Linked DNA regions of Drosophila melanogaster. The protein of the gene in region 3 binds, or shares a complex with, the protein of the main gene of each other region. Each region holds a gene or a part of one and is shown on either strand. Other genes may lie near its edges.

Region 1 (5,173 bases), about 11 Mb from region 3:
TGTTCAGCAACAAGTCCACCACCAGTGACTTCGTTTCCATCTTCCTGAACAACAGCGGAGTGAACTGCTTAAATCTGAATGGGGATATGCTGATGAAGATCCGTCTTGGCCGCTTCGAGCAGTTCCAAAACGGTCACTGCGACGTCCTTTCCACCACCGATGTGGGAAGTCGTGGCCTGGATACCACACGAGCTCGACATGTGGTCAACTTTGACTTTCCGCTCCACGTCTCCGATTATATCCATCGTTGTGGCAGGATCGGTCGGGTGGGCAACATGGACAAGGCGCTAGTCACGAACCTGATATCATCGCGCCGCGAAATCGACGTCGTCCAGCGAATTGAGCACGCAGCTCGAACAGGTGGACTTCTGCCGGATGTGAATGCCAACATCCGAAACATTATCAACAAGCGGATTGTGGCGGAGATGAAAGCTGCAGGAATGCCCGTGCCCGCTTTGGGCTCACTAAATGGACATACGCCTCAGGAAGAAGCCTTTTAGTTCTGTGTTTTTATGTATTACGAGTAAAGTTGTATCACCTTTCGGAAGACCGAAGAGGAAGTCTAAAGTAAACGAAGAGTTTTATTGAGATCCCCAGGTCCTCCTGGACCTCCAGAAGGTCTTATAATACTTTCCCAAGTCCCTTTCAGATCCTTAGGTAGTGATAGCCACTGATGGGCGACCACTTTCTCACGTTGGTCAGGGGCTTAAAGAGTTTTCGTTTGGCGATCAGGATGTCGGAGCTGGCACCGCCACCCCCACCACCGTTCGCTGCCGACGAAGGCGAGTCTTCGGAGTGGGGAACAGTCGCAACCTTCGGCTTCAGCAGCACCGGGCGGCATCCTGCAAACTTAAAGCGGATGTTGCCCGCGCAGTTGAGCTGAAGATTTGGTGACTGAAGGTCGGGGAAAGCCTCGCAGAGCGTAGGCTTCGGTTTGAGTGCCTTGCTAGGATCGTCTCCGTGGCACATGGCTGCCGCAAGAGTACTCCATTCCAACCGACGCACTCCCGGCACTGATTCTATTCTGTAAGCGGGTTGTTTGGCCTTCACATACCGTCTGGTTACCATCTTTTCGTAGGCTCCTGCAATGATTTTTAGTTACTTAACCGCTTTTCATGGAACACATGGGTGTTTCTTACGCGCATAGTGGACCAAGAAGGGCTGCAGAGCAGCACCGCATCCGTACTCCAGCCATTCATACAGGTATACGTCATCATGACCGCCAAGGAAGATGGCAGCCGGAGCCAGATCCGGCCACAGGCTATCCGGGATTTCCTCGACGCGCAGTTTGTAGATGTAGGGAATAAACTCACGAAAGGCATATTCTCCCAGGGCAATGAGACCGCGCACTGCTCTACTGATATACCTAAAGTCTTAATTAAGAAATCCAAAGATAAGGATCCAGGCTAACAAATTGTAAGGATGATTTACCTCTCTCACTGCTGACGTGGCGACCTTCGAAGAATCTCGCTAGGCGTCTCTTGATCAAAAACAGGCACTCTGCATGTAGGTAACCACTTTGAGATGCCAGCTGTCCTATAGTTTCACACAGCTCGTCCACCAGGCCATTGCCGACTGGACAGGCAAAGTAGCTGGATAGGTGTTCCGCCTCCGGCTGAGGATTCAATTCCTCCTCCTCCGATTGCAGCTTGTAGATTGTGTGTTCCATGGTGCTCTCACCCGGAAACATCTGGGGTTCTTGCTCCTGTTTCTCTACTCCCATGACCTCCGGATTTTCCTGGGTTTCCGGATTATGGCACTGGTCTGGCTCAACCTTTAGTTCTTCTTCAAACTCCATTTTGATGGAGGTGGTTTGTCCCGGATCTGGGTCGACGTGTGGAGCTTTGATAGTTTCGTAAGGTGCCATTAGCTGGCTGACCAGTACCTCGGCCAGGTTGAAGTACTCCGGCCGGCAGGCATTGTGATTAGCAGTGGCGTTGTAGTTGCATGCTCGGAGCAGTCGCCAGCATCGCTGGCTCAAATGGTCCTGCTGCTTAAAGGCTAGCAACTGGACCATCTTACTCACAATCACTCGGTAGATAGATCCCATCAGGGGTGTCTGAAAAGCATGGCAGACGGCGGCCGTCTGGGATTTGCTGTCCGCAAAAAGGGCTGCCGTCACAAGACTCTGGACACACTGTCTTAGTTGGTCCATGTGCTTATCCTCCACTGGGCAGATGCTCTGAAAGTCTGCATCATCAGGTGTGCACAGATTGACTTCCTTCTGAAACTCCGCGCTCAGCTCGAAGATCTTATCCGAGTGAAAGTAAAAACTGCCGTCATAGTCGATCCGGTCCCAGTCGCTGTCCATCGCACCCAGCATAGGCGGCACATCGGCATCTTTTAGCACTTCGTTCACCAGGTCGTATGTCACCACTCCGCCCGAGTGGCGCGAGTATATTTTGACATTCTGAGAGATCAAGAGGTTAGAGGGATTAAAGAGGTGTATTACGGTCGACTTACATTGATCAGCTCCCAGACTTTGTAGGAGGCATCTTCCGCCAAACGGGCGCACACATCCTGGGAGAGTTCCACATCGGTCTGGTCGTGCTGCTCCCAAAAGATCTTGATGCTGCGCGGATCGAAACCAGCATAGCTCTTCTGATGACCCTACAGTAAAGAGAGCTTGTACCATAAGAGGGCCCTGAGATTGGCATCCTTACCATTCGACTGGAGTTGCCAGAGGCTTCTGCGCCCGCGATGCCGCCTGCAAGTCCGTGCCCACCACTTCCTGCTACCGCAAATGAGGCGTCAAACAGATTGTAGTTACCCAGACTAGATGTTGGCGTGGTGGGCGTTGTCACCATGTTTAGGTGAGTGGGCGTGGCCGGCAGGCTGCCCACTGCAACGCCCCCGCTCACTGCGGATGCGATGGAGGATGATGCGGATGCCGACAGGGAATTCTTTCCAGTCAACTCCAATTTCGCCGACTTAGATCGCGACTTAGTGGACTTTTTGCTGACTTTGCTGTGCGATGACTTGTTCAGCTCGTCAGTATTGCTGGCGCCAGAGGTTTTCATCTTCTTGGTTTTGTATAATTCATAAATGTATATATTTTCAACAGTTGGTAAATAAACAACGAAGCTGCACCACAAAATAAACAAATCTTGCCAGATTATTAACCCAACTATCGATGGTGCCAACGACTTATCGATATATTGATGAGCACTCGACTGTTTTCAAGCCAAGCCCGATAACACCAGTACTGATAAGAATAACAACATAATTGGTATTCGAATTTAATTCCATTTATTTAAATGCTATAAACACAATGGCAGAAGCGGCAAATGTGCGCCAGAACCTTCAAAATGTGCCGTCGATCTTCGAAATTTCAGCGTCAGAGACGCTGGACAACCTGATTTACCCGGCACTGAGCAAGATATTCGACTACTTTGGACTACGCCTGGACTTTAAACTATGGGGGAGTTTGAGGATTCAGGAGGAGCTGTCGCCATTGCTGACTTGGCTGCTGCAGTACCTGTATCTGCGCAAGAGGGCCTCCTCTTTCGGTGAGAGCTTTTACGGATTGCAAAGGACGGTCACAACCACTGGGGATCTGCTGAACCGCAGGCAGCAGTTCGCCTCTGCCACACTGCTAACCTTCATGCCTTACGTGGAGCGGAAGCTAAGGACCAGGATCACCAGGCACGAGGACACCAGTCCCTGGGAGCAACGCCTTCTAAGCGCATTCCATGCTTTCCATGCCGCCAAGGCGGCGCACACATTCTTTTACCTCGTAAAGTACGCCTCAAACCACTCGCCCATCTTCAGATTGTTGGGGCTGACCCTTCGCTATCCCAGCGAACCTCCCAAAGAGGATCAGTGGACCTACGTGGTCCTAAAGATGCTGGAGGTCTTGGCCTTCTTCCTGCAGTTCGTCCAGTGGTGGTACTCCAACGACCAGCGGCGGAAAGTGGGTGGAACTCTGATAAATCCCGAAGCGATGCCGAGAAAGCAGCTGCCCAAGGAAGTGCAGCAGAGCCTTCCCCAGCGGGGAGAGTGCCCAGTCTGCCTGCTGTCCATCCAGACGCCCACTGCCTGCTCCGTTTCCGGCTACGTCTTTTGCTGGAAGTGCATCGTTAGCCACATGAAGGAGCACGGCACCTGCCCGGTCACCCACTATCCCATCAGTCTGGACGACCTGGTGCGCATCTACGAGACGTAACGTTAAGCATTCCTTTTATGTTTTTTGCTTGTTTTTGTTTAATACATTTTATAAGGAATTGGGAACTGTTTACATCTCGCTGAGGAAGAAACCCAAACGTTGGTCGTAACATATGTAGACGTGGTAGAAGTCAAAGTAGACCGTGCATAGATAGATAAAGAAGCACTCACAGGAGATGAACTCGCCCATACCGAATACGGAGTAGGCTGCAGAGGATCCGGGGATTAGAATTGTAGACATCCTTCCATTCGGTTAGGTTCTACTCACCCAAGGGAAAGCAAAACTTCTGGTGTATAAAGTAAAAAATCCACATGACCACCACCCAGACGTAGTAGGTGAGCACCAGACCGCTCTTCAACCGCAAGGAGAATTCCTCATGCAGCTGCCCAATCCTATCGCTCATATAGTACTTGGCGCACACAAAGGAACCTGCCATGTAAATGGCACACGATACGAATAGCGACAAGGCGATGGTTATGTGCAGCAATGAGTCGCCATCCTCTTGGGGGAAGGTGCCCCATAGCAGTACGCTGGAACTACTGACAGCCATAATGATGGCCATCAGGCAGCCGAAACCTCGGACCGGCCTGCGCAGATTCCTCCGATAGAATCGGAACTGCAGCCATGCACTGGCAATGAGAAATGGGAACTCCAGGTAGCAAGCCAGAGCCCACACTTTGTGCTGAGACTTGGCAGCCGCCGATGTGGAGGGAAAGATGTTGAAGGCATTACAGGTGGTATACGTGGTGGACTGGAAGTCCGTGGTGATGGCCATCACCAGGTTGTACACCATGCAGACGGGCAATTGCAGAAGCCCCAGTGCGAGAATCGGACCAACTGGGATGCGGAAATGCCGCCTCGCCTGCAAATCCTTGATGGAGCTGGGCAACAGCTTGGCTTGATCCTCCACAAAGTGCAGCATTTAAGAGCAGGTTAATCCTAGGACAAGTCGGTCAGACAATCTTACACTTTCTGTTATCCCTCCAGACAAAGTGAGGCACTCGAACA
Region 2 (5,307 bases), on a different chromosome or scaffold from region 3:
TATTGGCAAAGACTTTCAGGTCTGAATAAAGTGACATTGTGATACTAGACCTTCTACTTCCCAGTGCGCTGTGGAATCAGACTGCTGCTGTCGGCATGCGTAGCATATGCATGCTATTTATTATTTATTCATGTTCTGCCCTCTTTTATTACGCTGTATAAGTCACTATATTTAAGCCAACCGGATAAAGATAAAGCTTTTGTTGCATCCCGCTGGGTCGTAGACAAGCTCATTTACATAAGTTATGATATTTGATTATAGTTGTTCAATTCATTGATTGCATGTAACTTACGATCAGAAGGCTGATCACTCCAACATTATTTAAAAATTAAGTTCAATGTTCTTTGTTCAAAAGGGCTGTGCGTATGTCCAAAATCATAGAGGTTCCAAGCTGTATATAAATGTATTTACACAATCCTAAACCTATATGAAACTACCTAAATTATTGAAGAACAGTAAAATGTCTCTTAATGCATCGCTAATTAAATTCAACCAAAAAATTCTATATTACCTTTAGATTTATTTAGTTTTGCACATTTTTAGGTATTGGGTAAAATGTTAATATATTAAAAAAAATCACTTCAACAATTGAAATTCGATTCGAATGCTCGTCTTATTTTTAATAGTTACACATTTTTCAACTTTTGTGGAAATTGGCCACTCATTACTTATGCCATGACTTCGTTTTGAAAGACATTCTTTAGCTGTGACCAGTAGACGATGCAGGTAAAGGCATTACACTGTAACCAACTCGTTTTATTCCACAAGAAAGCTACCAGGATTGTTAAATCAAAAGAATTATTTATATAAAGAATTGTTTCACACGATAGTAACAATAATATACAACTTATTACAAAATAAATTATTTTCAAACATAAGTCGTCACTAGAAAGTCTAAATTCGGGCTGAACTTTCAACCGTCTTCTTTAAGTGCCGATGCAGTAGAGCGTCTTGCTGGTCCCGTAAAAAACATCGACCAAGCGCTGGCAGGAACTATTGACAGTAAGCACACGATTCGTTGTAGCTGATGATGAGCTTCCAGCACTACTGTTGTCACTGTGGAGCAACCAAAATAAATCATCATTACCAATATTAACAAATTGCTCCGTTTCCATTCCACAAATATAACTAACCTCATGGGCGATAGTTTCTTGATGTCCCACAATCGCAAGGTACCATCGCTGCACGCTGTGGCCAGGTGCCTATTGTGCGTGCTCCAGGAAAGAGAACTAATGCTCGCCGAGTGATCCTTGAGCTCAGCCAGCTGTGCTCCGGCGGCCAAGTCGAATATACGCACCTTCGTTTCCTCTCCGGCGGCAGCCAACATCTTTCCATCTGGGCTAAACGCCAGCTGGGTCACCGCCTGACGGCAGTCGGCAAAGACACGCATCAATTTTCCGCTGGTTGCACACCACAGGCGAACGGAGTGATCTGCCGATCCTGTGGCTATGTAGTTGCCATTCGGATGGAACGCAACGCACTGTCAGAAAAAAAAAATATATATAACTAAAAGTTCAAAGACATTTTTGGTTAAACCAACCTCAACATCCTGTGTATGCCCGGCATAAATTATGAGCGCATGTTCCTTCTCTAGCGACCAGAGGCGCGCACTCAAATCCTTGGAACCCGTTACCACGTATTGGCCCACTGGACTTTCGTCCAAGCACCAAATTGGGTAGTTGTGACTTCTGTATATGGCGGCGCAATGCAGGTTGTGGGCACGCCAGCACCGCATGGTTGCGTCTTTGGACACACTATACATGAGTGGGTAGTGGGCGGAGAAGCGCACATCGGTGACTCCTTTTGTGTGACCTCGCAGCTGAAATCCGCCGTATTCGTTGCTAATTAGAAAAAAAAAACTTTAGTTGATTAAAAATTGAAAAATAAAACCAATACTAAACCTGGAAGATGAACTTACTAGGAGTTATCAGCATATTTGCAATGTCGCGCCCTGTTGCGTTCCCGTCTCTCCTCCTCAGAGCACTTGACATCCTCATCGCTGCTGTCCTCATCCGTCTCCTCCTCTTGATTCGCGCAATTGTTCAGCTCCCAGGGACACCGCTTTTGCGGATAGCGTCTGTAGAAGCTCTTGCCGCGGCAGTAGCTCTGGTTTAACTGCCACAGCTGTACGGCAGAATTGTCGAACCCGGCTAACATGTGGCACTCACTGGGATCCAGATGGGCGGAGGTGAGGCCCCGAGAACGTTCACTGATTCTGAGAAATCGCGGCAACTCCACCTGAGACTTGAGTATCTGTTCAGTGGCCGATTTAAGGGTGTCCAAGCAGGCGTCTATATTCAGTTGTAATTTACTAAGCTCTGCAGATTCATCCGTTTCTACCTCCTGTTTGATGTCTGTTTCTAGCATAATGTTTGGCTCCTCAGCGGGTCGTTTTCGGTTCGACTTTTCAGTGAGGGATTTGCTTGGTCTTATGTCTCCGCGGGTATTAAGGGTTACTGCTGGTTTGGAAACAACATCGTCCTCTCCATCCTCACCTTCCAGGTCATCCGTCAAGCCAAGCAGGTGATCCTCACTAAAGGCGCGCTGCTCATTCTCCACTATATGGACATGCAACCAGGTGTAGAGTAGGTTCATAATTAAAACGTGGCCCCGTCGTTGGAGATAAGCGCATATCCTATTAACAACTACGGCTGTAGTATGTAGTTCGTATTTCGAAGATCGAAAATGGGCCACTGTGTCATCGGACTCTGCTGCCTCCAGCCGTGTGTAGCCACTCAGGGTTTGCACCAGGCGCATAAAGTAGTCCAGTTCCGTGTCCCCAGTGTCCTGGGCTTCCTTTGCGAAGCGTATGTTAAAAGTGGACTCATTGGCCGTAGTGGAGCATCCGTTGATCTTGGTAGGTGGTGGTGCATCGTACATATCCACGGGGGCCACCAAGTGAGCATATTTGCGCAACAACTCCACAGCGCCACGCGGTTCGCGAGCCTTGAGCAGATCCAGATAGAAGTGGCACAGCATGGGTCCATAAAAGCGCTTCATTTCCAGACGCAGCGGTTCGGCCTGGGCCTCCACGAACTGCGAAAACCGACCAAATTGCTGGTCCACAGTGTGCTGGTTGTTGGTGATAACCTGGACATTTGAAAAGGTGAAGCTATTGCCACCGTGCAAATCCGTATCCAGCATTTTGTTGACAGCAAACTGCTGTTTGTTTTGCAGCAGCAAAAAATCCGACCGCCGAAATCGTTCGTTGCTCTACGGGTTTGAATATTTGAACACTCTGAGGAATTGTATATTTGAAGATTATTCACTTACCACGTAGTTTTTCTGCTTCAGCAGGAGTCCCACGGCGCAGCGTAGCAAATCGTTTTTGGAGGAGGTCTTTTTGCTGCTCGCGCTCGACTTGTTGTTATTGCTGTTGCTGTAGACGGGCGATGCAGCATGTGCGTGGTTGCTGGCGCTGGGCAGGCTCATCGTTGCGTGTTAGCCTCGCTTTGTTCCGTATCCTGATCCCGTCCTGCAGTGCGTCCGATATGCGTTCGATTATAGTGCTGACAGCGGAGATGGGTTGTCCTATCGATGTGCATTCATCGATTTTAAGCGGCTGCAACAGCTGTTCTTTCAAAATTGTTTTCGTCAGTGATGGCTATTTGGCTTCTCTTTTATAACAATATTGATATTGAAATATTTTAATTTTAAATTTATTTTTACATTTTTAACTTATATTTATATTATATTTTATTTATATTAACTAGCTTTTTATTTTTAGCTCTATTATATTCTCTATTCTTAGCTAGTTTATTTGGCTATTGTCACCACTGAAGAAAGTCAGCTGTTTGTGTTGTTGGATTCCCGAGCGCTCTTGACAATTTCTTGTATTTTCGCTGCGGTATCTCAGTTCGAGTTTTTACGTGATATAAAACAGTACCTGGTCTTCAAAAAACGAGCCATTATGGGCACCACGACAAAGTTTGTGAACGAGTTCTGTGATATTATCGATTCCTATGGCGGGCGAGATAAGGTAACATAGAAGAGCCGCACAGCCGAGTAAATTTCCAATTAATTGAAAACACACCTGTTTGTTTACGTTTGAACCGAGTGTTTTTCCCAATTCGTATGCGCAAATTTAAAAAAATGCATCGTGGCATTTTGACTGGTTTCTATTTCCTTTTTGGACTGGTCCATTGAGGGGCTCGCTTGAAATCGAAACTGAACCAACAGGTTTCCATGTTGTTGCTGCATCGATGTTGGCATTGGTCTTTGGGTCTCGAACAAGGAAGCCACAGCAGTTTGGACCTTGCCTTACTTCTTTCTGATTCGCAATGGATTTTGTATTTCGCTTTTCGCTTATCAGTCGCAGTTCGGCGGCGATCGAGTCAAGATAATGCTCAATACTATAGCCGGCAAACCTTTAAGCCGCTACCAGATAAAGCGGATAATTCGTTATGAACGAAAGGTTTGTTTGGACTGCCGCCCATCAGGAGACACGCGATCCACACATTTCCACCATCGCGAGTTTATATACCCCTACAAGGGGTGTATACAGTGCAGACAAAGAGGGAATCTTGTATAGTGTATCTCTATTTTAATAGAAAAATCGAACCTTGAATACGATAAAATATTGTTCAAAGTATTTTAGATTTATTAATTAGAACAAATAATTTGTTATACTTGATAACCATTTGAAAATATAATATAATATATTATGTGGCTGTAAACAGCGAATGGGGTGGTCACGAACTTTGGAAATACTATAGGATATTTACATAAATTAGTCGTATAGCGACATTAGTATTCCTCCGAATTGCATAACTAATTCATTGATGGCAAAGCAAGCAAACTGAACCATTAATGGGTAAACAATGAAACCACCCACAACTCATTCCGGCCAGGACGGACGACCAGGAGCACTCCACTGGCGGCCATCACACGAGATGATTGTGGCATTCGTTGTATTCTTTTTATCGCTGATAGTATTTTATCTGTTTGTGACAACCAAGCAATTCCACAAATTGCAGGGCTGACTGGCGATTGGGGTCAGGTAGAGGCAAAGGTAAACAGCGATGCCAACTCTCGTGATAGAGCAAACACACGGCTTAACGAATTGCGCAGAACAATTATTACATATATGAAATTAAATACCTATTTCAGGTGATGAAGGCATTGTGCTACAGTGCCAAACTGGTGGCTGGCTACCATGCCAAGCGGAATCCGGAACTAGCCAAGCGATACGCCACCGCCAGCTCAAGGATCTCAGGTGCGAGAGCCACACTGCGTCTCATCGACGACATACCCATGATCCAATATGCTTTGGAGTATGGCTTGGGCGAGAATGAGCCCGATCGCGTC
Region 3 (3,320 bases):
TTTCCAAGGGGGCAACATTTTCGCCCAGGCGCAGGTTCAGGTGCAAGCTCAGCCAGTGAATCCTAATCCTTTCGGTGGTTTCCAACAGCAGCAGCAGCAACCGCAGTCGACGGGAATCTTTGGCCAAGCCGCAAGCCAAAATATGGGCGGAATGTTTACTCAGGCTTCTCAGCAACTACAACAGCAGCAGCAGGCAGCTGCCTCCGGATTATTTGCTCAAGCAGCAGCATCTGCATTCCCTAATCAACAACAGATGCAGCAGCAGCAACAGATGCAGCAGCAGCAACAGATGCAACAGCAACAAATGCATCAGCAGCAGCAGATGCAATAGCAACAAATGCAGCAGCAACAACAATTTCAAATGCAACAGCAACAGCAAATGATGCAGCAGCAGCAGCAGCAGCAAGCTCAACCGACCAACGAAATCCAGTCCTCAGTTTACAGTCGCATGGAGGATCTCAACGAGCAGGAAATCGAAGCATTCAAGGCGGATCAATTTCTACCAGGTGCCTTGCCATTCAAACCGCCTCCACGGAATCTTTGCTGAACCAAACACTTAATGGTACACTAGCGTATAATGTATATATTTTTACAGAAGCTGATATAATAAAATAATTAGAACTTATAAGCTAATGCATCATCATATTGAGTCGTTCCATGTTTATGGAGTAGACGGCATGCGAGCCTATCAGGTTGCGATCCCGTAAGGCCAGTTGGCAGTCCTTGAGGGTGATTACTGTGCGTTCGGTGGGTTGGCTGAAAGAAACAAAACCTAAGTTTGTGTTTCACATGAAAATCTCATTATTATTCAGGAGCTTACACTTCTTCGCAGGCGGAGAGGAAGGTCACATCGTCGTTCTGTCGCCGCATAAAGTTGGCCGTATTCAGTTCCTTGTCCAGTTCCAGCGGCGTGTCGTCGACCTTCTGCCGGGTGACGGTGTTGCGCAGCGAAGGATCACGCAACGGAGCACCTACATCGTAGTAAAAGTTTCCCTCGCCGCTGGTCTTGTAGTGCTTTCGTTTCTTGATGATTGCCGATAGTAGATCCTTGAGCAGAACTTGCACGGCCATGGCAACGTACTCGGCGACATTGTCGTCCACGGAGACAAGTCCGATTTCCCAGGCACCGATCAGAAATCGTCCCATAATGAATCCCGCGTCGGGCAGGAAAAGTTCCTGCGCGCAGTACCGCTGCGACTGAAGCTGTTGCTGTTGCTGGTCCGACGGAATACCGATCGTGGTTGGCGGACGAATGATTTGCATGTTGTCCTCGGCTACAAAGTCCAGGACGTCGCTGAGCTCAAAATTAAGGCGTTCGGCGAAGGTGCGGCAACTTCTTTTGCGCCGTTTGCTTCGGTTGCCACTACTGCTGCTGGTCTGGACGGCCGGAGGATTCTCCAGGGGAGCAAAGGCGTCGATCTTGTTGAGCAGGGCGAGCAGGAACTGATTGTGCAGGTGCAGTTTGTCAGGTGTTAGGATTTTCCGCGACTCCGCATCGAATTCCTCCTTAGTCCAACGGCTCCGAAACCAATTCTTCATGTTGGCCCGGTAACGCTCCCAGTTGTCGCCCAGAGCCACCACTAGCGCCTCCTTGGTGGCCAGAACTCTGTCGGTAAGCATTTTAGTATTGGGAATAACAACTAAACAGGAAAATCCAACTGTTTGCGAATTGCTATATAAACAAATGAATGCAGCTGATTCGAGTGACCGTTCAAAGAACGGCTGAAAATACCAGATACATTTGAGATAAAAACCGTTATTTTTGAAGAACCCTTTAAAAAAATATTGGTTTTAATCTTTAGTGTTCACAGTTTTTATTGTGTACAAGTTAGTTAGTTAAAATATAAACATTAAAGATAGAGCCCACGCCATTCACACAACATAAGATGATAATATTTGCGAAGCTATTTGATCATTAAAAAAGTAATAGAATAGAATAAATATCTTGGTTAATGTTAAAAAATTTAACATAATTTAACATAAATTGTCAATACAATGAGTATTGTATATAAATGCTACGCATAAGAACATACTTAATATTGAAGGTAAACATTACACTGAAAATAACTATGGTTACATAAATATGGTATCGGATTTAGAAGGATAAGGAAAATTCTTTTAGCCTAGAAACACTCATCCTAATTGACGCGATCCCATCGCCACACGGTGCTGTCGTCGCACACGCAAACTAAAATGGAACCGTCTTTGGAGAAGGAAGTCTGTCGGATGGTGGAGTTGCTTTTGGGATGAACCAGCTGGCTACACTTTGTTAAATTGGGATCATTGCAGTCCAATTCCCAGACAAATGTTGTGCCCAGTTGATTGCCCAAGGCCAGAATCTTTTGCCAGGCGTTGAAGGCGAAGCGTACGAACCAGATTTCCGTAGAAATTGGTCAGATAGGGGAGCATAGCGTCCAATACACGTGGGTCCATTGGAGTGGTGGCCTGGGCATCCAGGTAAAGTGGTCTACCCTCGGTCTGTTCGTTCTTTATGTTGAATCGCACCTGTCTCTCCCGGAATTCTACGAACGAATACGATTTTGGTAAGCGGTAACTGTGCATCTTGGAGGATCCGCTTACCTTTGGATGTGGCGGCTGGTTTAGCCGCTGTCCTGGAGGAGGTGGCCTCGTGTCTAACCACATTGGCTAATGCATTCGTCGCCCGGGAGCGGAGGACCTGCGCCTGGATGCGTCCCAGCACTTTTTGCATTCTGATGGAATCCTAGAAATTCTGGTGTTAAAATTCGTTATCACGGATTTCACAATCAGTGGGACCGTATTCGGCGGCACGAGATATACCAAAGGACTCCGGAATTCACTTTAAAATTATCTGATTCGATTATGCAGAAGCAAGTTTCTGAATTTCTTTGAACATATGAAAAATGAATAGCATCTGTGCAAGAAACCAATATTTTTCAGATATATTCGCACTTAATGTATAATTTACAAGGAACTATATTTTCAAAAACCAGTTTTCATCTTAAATATGTTTGCTTACAAAATTATCTTAATCATTCAGCGAACTTAAGTTACGAATTCACGAAATTGCGCGCATAGGCACGGTATATTTTTCTCAGTGAGCCATAAAATACTCAAAGAATACTCAATACGCAAAGTAAGACAATTATAAACAAAAGTACAAAAGTTGAAGCAGTTTTGAAATAATAAATATAGGAAATAGGCAAAAATTAAAATCAAATTTAAATATGGTTGTCTGCCGGTTCTTTCAACAAGGCTCCTGCCGCTATGGCGCAAAGTGCAACAACGAGCATTTCGATGTTAAGTGAGTACATTGATATTAAAACTATGCAGATGAACTA

What was found. The genes of interacting proteins can lie anywhere in the genome.
Region 1: Ada1-1 (region 3) and Saf6 share a complex: the UniProt entries of both Drosophila melanogaster proteins name them as parts of the spt-Ada-Gcn5 acetyltransferase (SAGA) complex.
Region 2: Ada1-1 (region 3) and wda share a complex: the UniProt entries of both Drosophila melanogaster proteins name them as parts of the spt-Ada-Gcn5 acetyltransferase (SAGA) complex.

Annotation. Positions count from the first base shown.
Region 1 is NT_033779.5:812,812-817,984, forward strand, and holds Saf6 (SAGA factor-like TAF6), read right to left. Parts: upstream 3,140-5,173; 5' UTR 3,021-3,139; coding exon 2,664-3,020; intron 2,611-2,663; coding exon 2,464-2,610; intron 2,411-2,463; coding exon 1,432-2,410; intron 1,374-1,431; coding exon 1,140-1,373; intron 1,083-1,139; coding exon 646-1,082; 3' UTR 503-645; downstream 1-502. Other genes in the region: Dbp21E2 (DEAD box protein 21E2), read left to right, coding at 1-500; Pex12 (peroxin 12), read left to right, coding at 3,272-4,165; CG15880 (uncharacterized protein), read right to left, coding at 4,235-4,371, 4,433-5,087. UniProt on the Drosophila melanogaster protein: Component of the transcription regulatory complex SAGA, a multiprotein complex that activates transcription by remodeling chromatin and mediating histone acetylation and deubiquitination. The SAGA complex predominantly acetylates histone H3.
Region 2 is NT_033777.3:23,254,568-23,259,874, forward strand, and holds wda (will decrease acetylation), read right to left. Parts: upstream 3,521-5,307; 5' UTR 3,433-3,520; coding exon 3,274-3,432; intron 3,214-3,273; coding exon 1,919-3,213; intron 1,842-1,918; coding exon 1,541-1,841; intron 1,481-1,540; coding exon 1,134-1,480; intron 1,057-1,133; coding exon 927-1,056; 3' UTR 503-926; downstream 1-502. Other genes in the region: Pex11c (peroxin 11c), read left to right, coding at 4,343-4,414, 5,110-5,307. UniProt on the Drosophila melanogaster protein: Component of the transcription regulatory complex SAGA, a multiprotein complex that activates transcription by remodeling chromatin and mediating histone acetylation and deubiquitination. The SAGA complex predominantly acetylates histone H3.
Region 3 is NT_033779.5:11,995,204-11,998,523, reverse strand, and holds Ada1-1 (transcriptional adaptor 1-1), read right to left. Parts: upstream 1,716-3,320; 5' UTR 1,621-1,715; coding exon 821-1,620; intron 757-820; coding exon 630-756; 3' UTR 559-629; downstream 1-558. Other genes in the region: Qtzl (quetzalcoatl), read right to left, coding at 2,281-2,522, 2,581-2,710; CG18789 (uncharacterized protein), read left to right, coding at 3,207-3,283. UniProt on the Drosophila melanogaster protein: Component of the transcription regulatory complex SAGA, a multiprotein complex that activates transcription by remodeling chromatin and mediating histone acetylation and deubiquitination. The SAGA complex predominantly acetylates histone H3.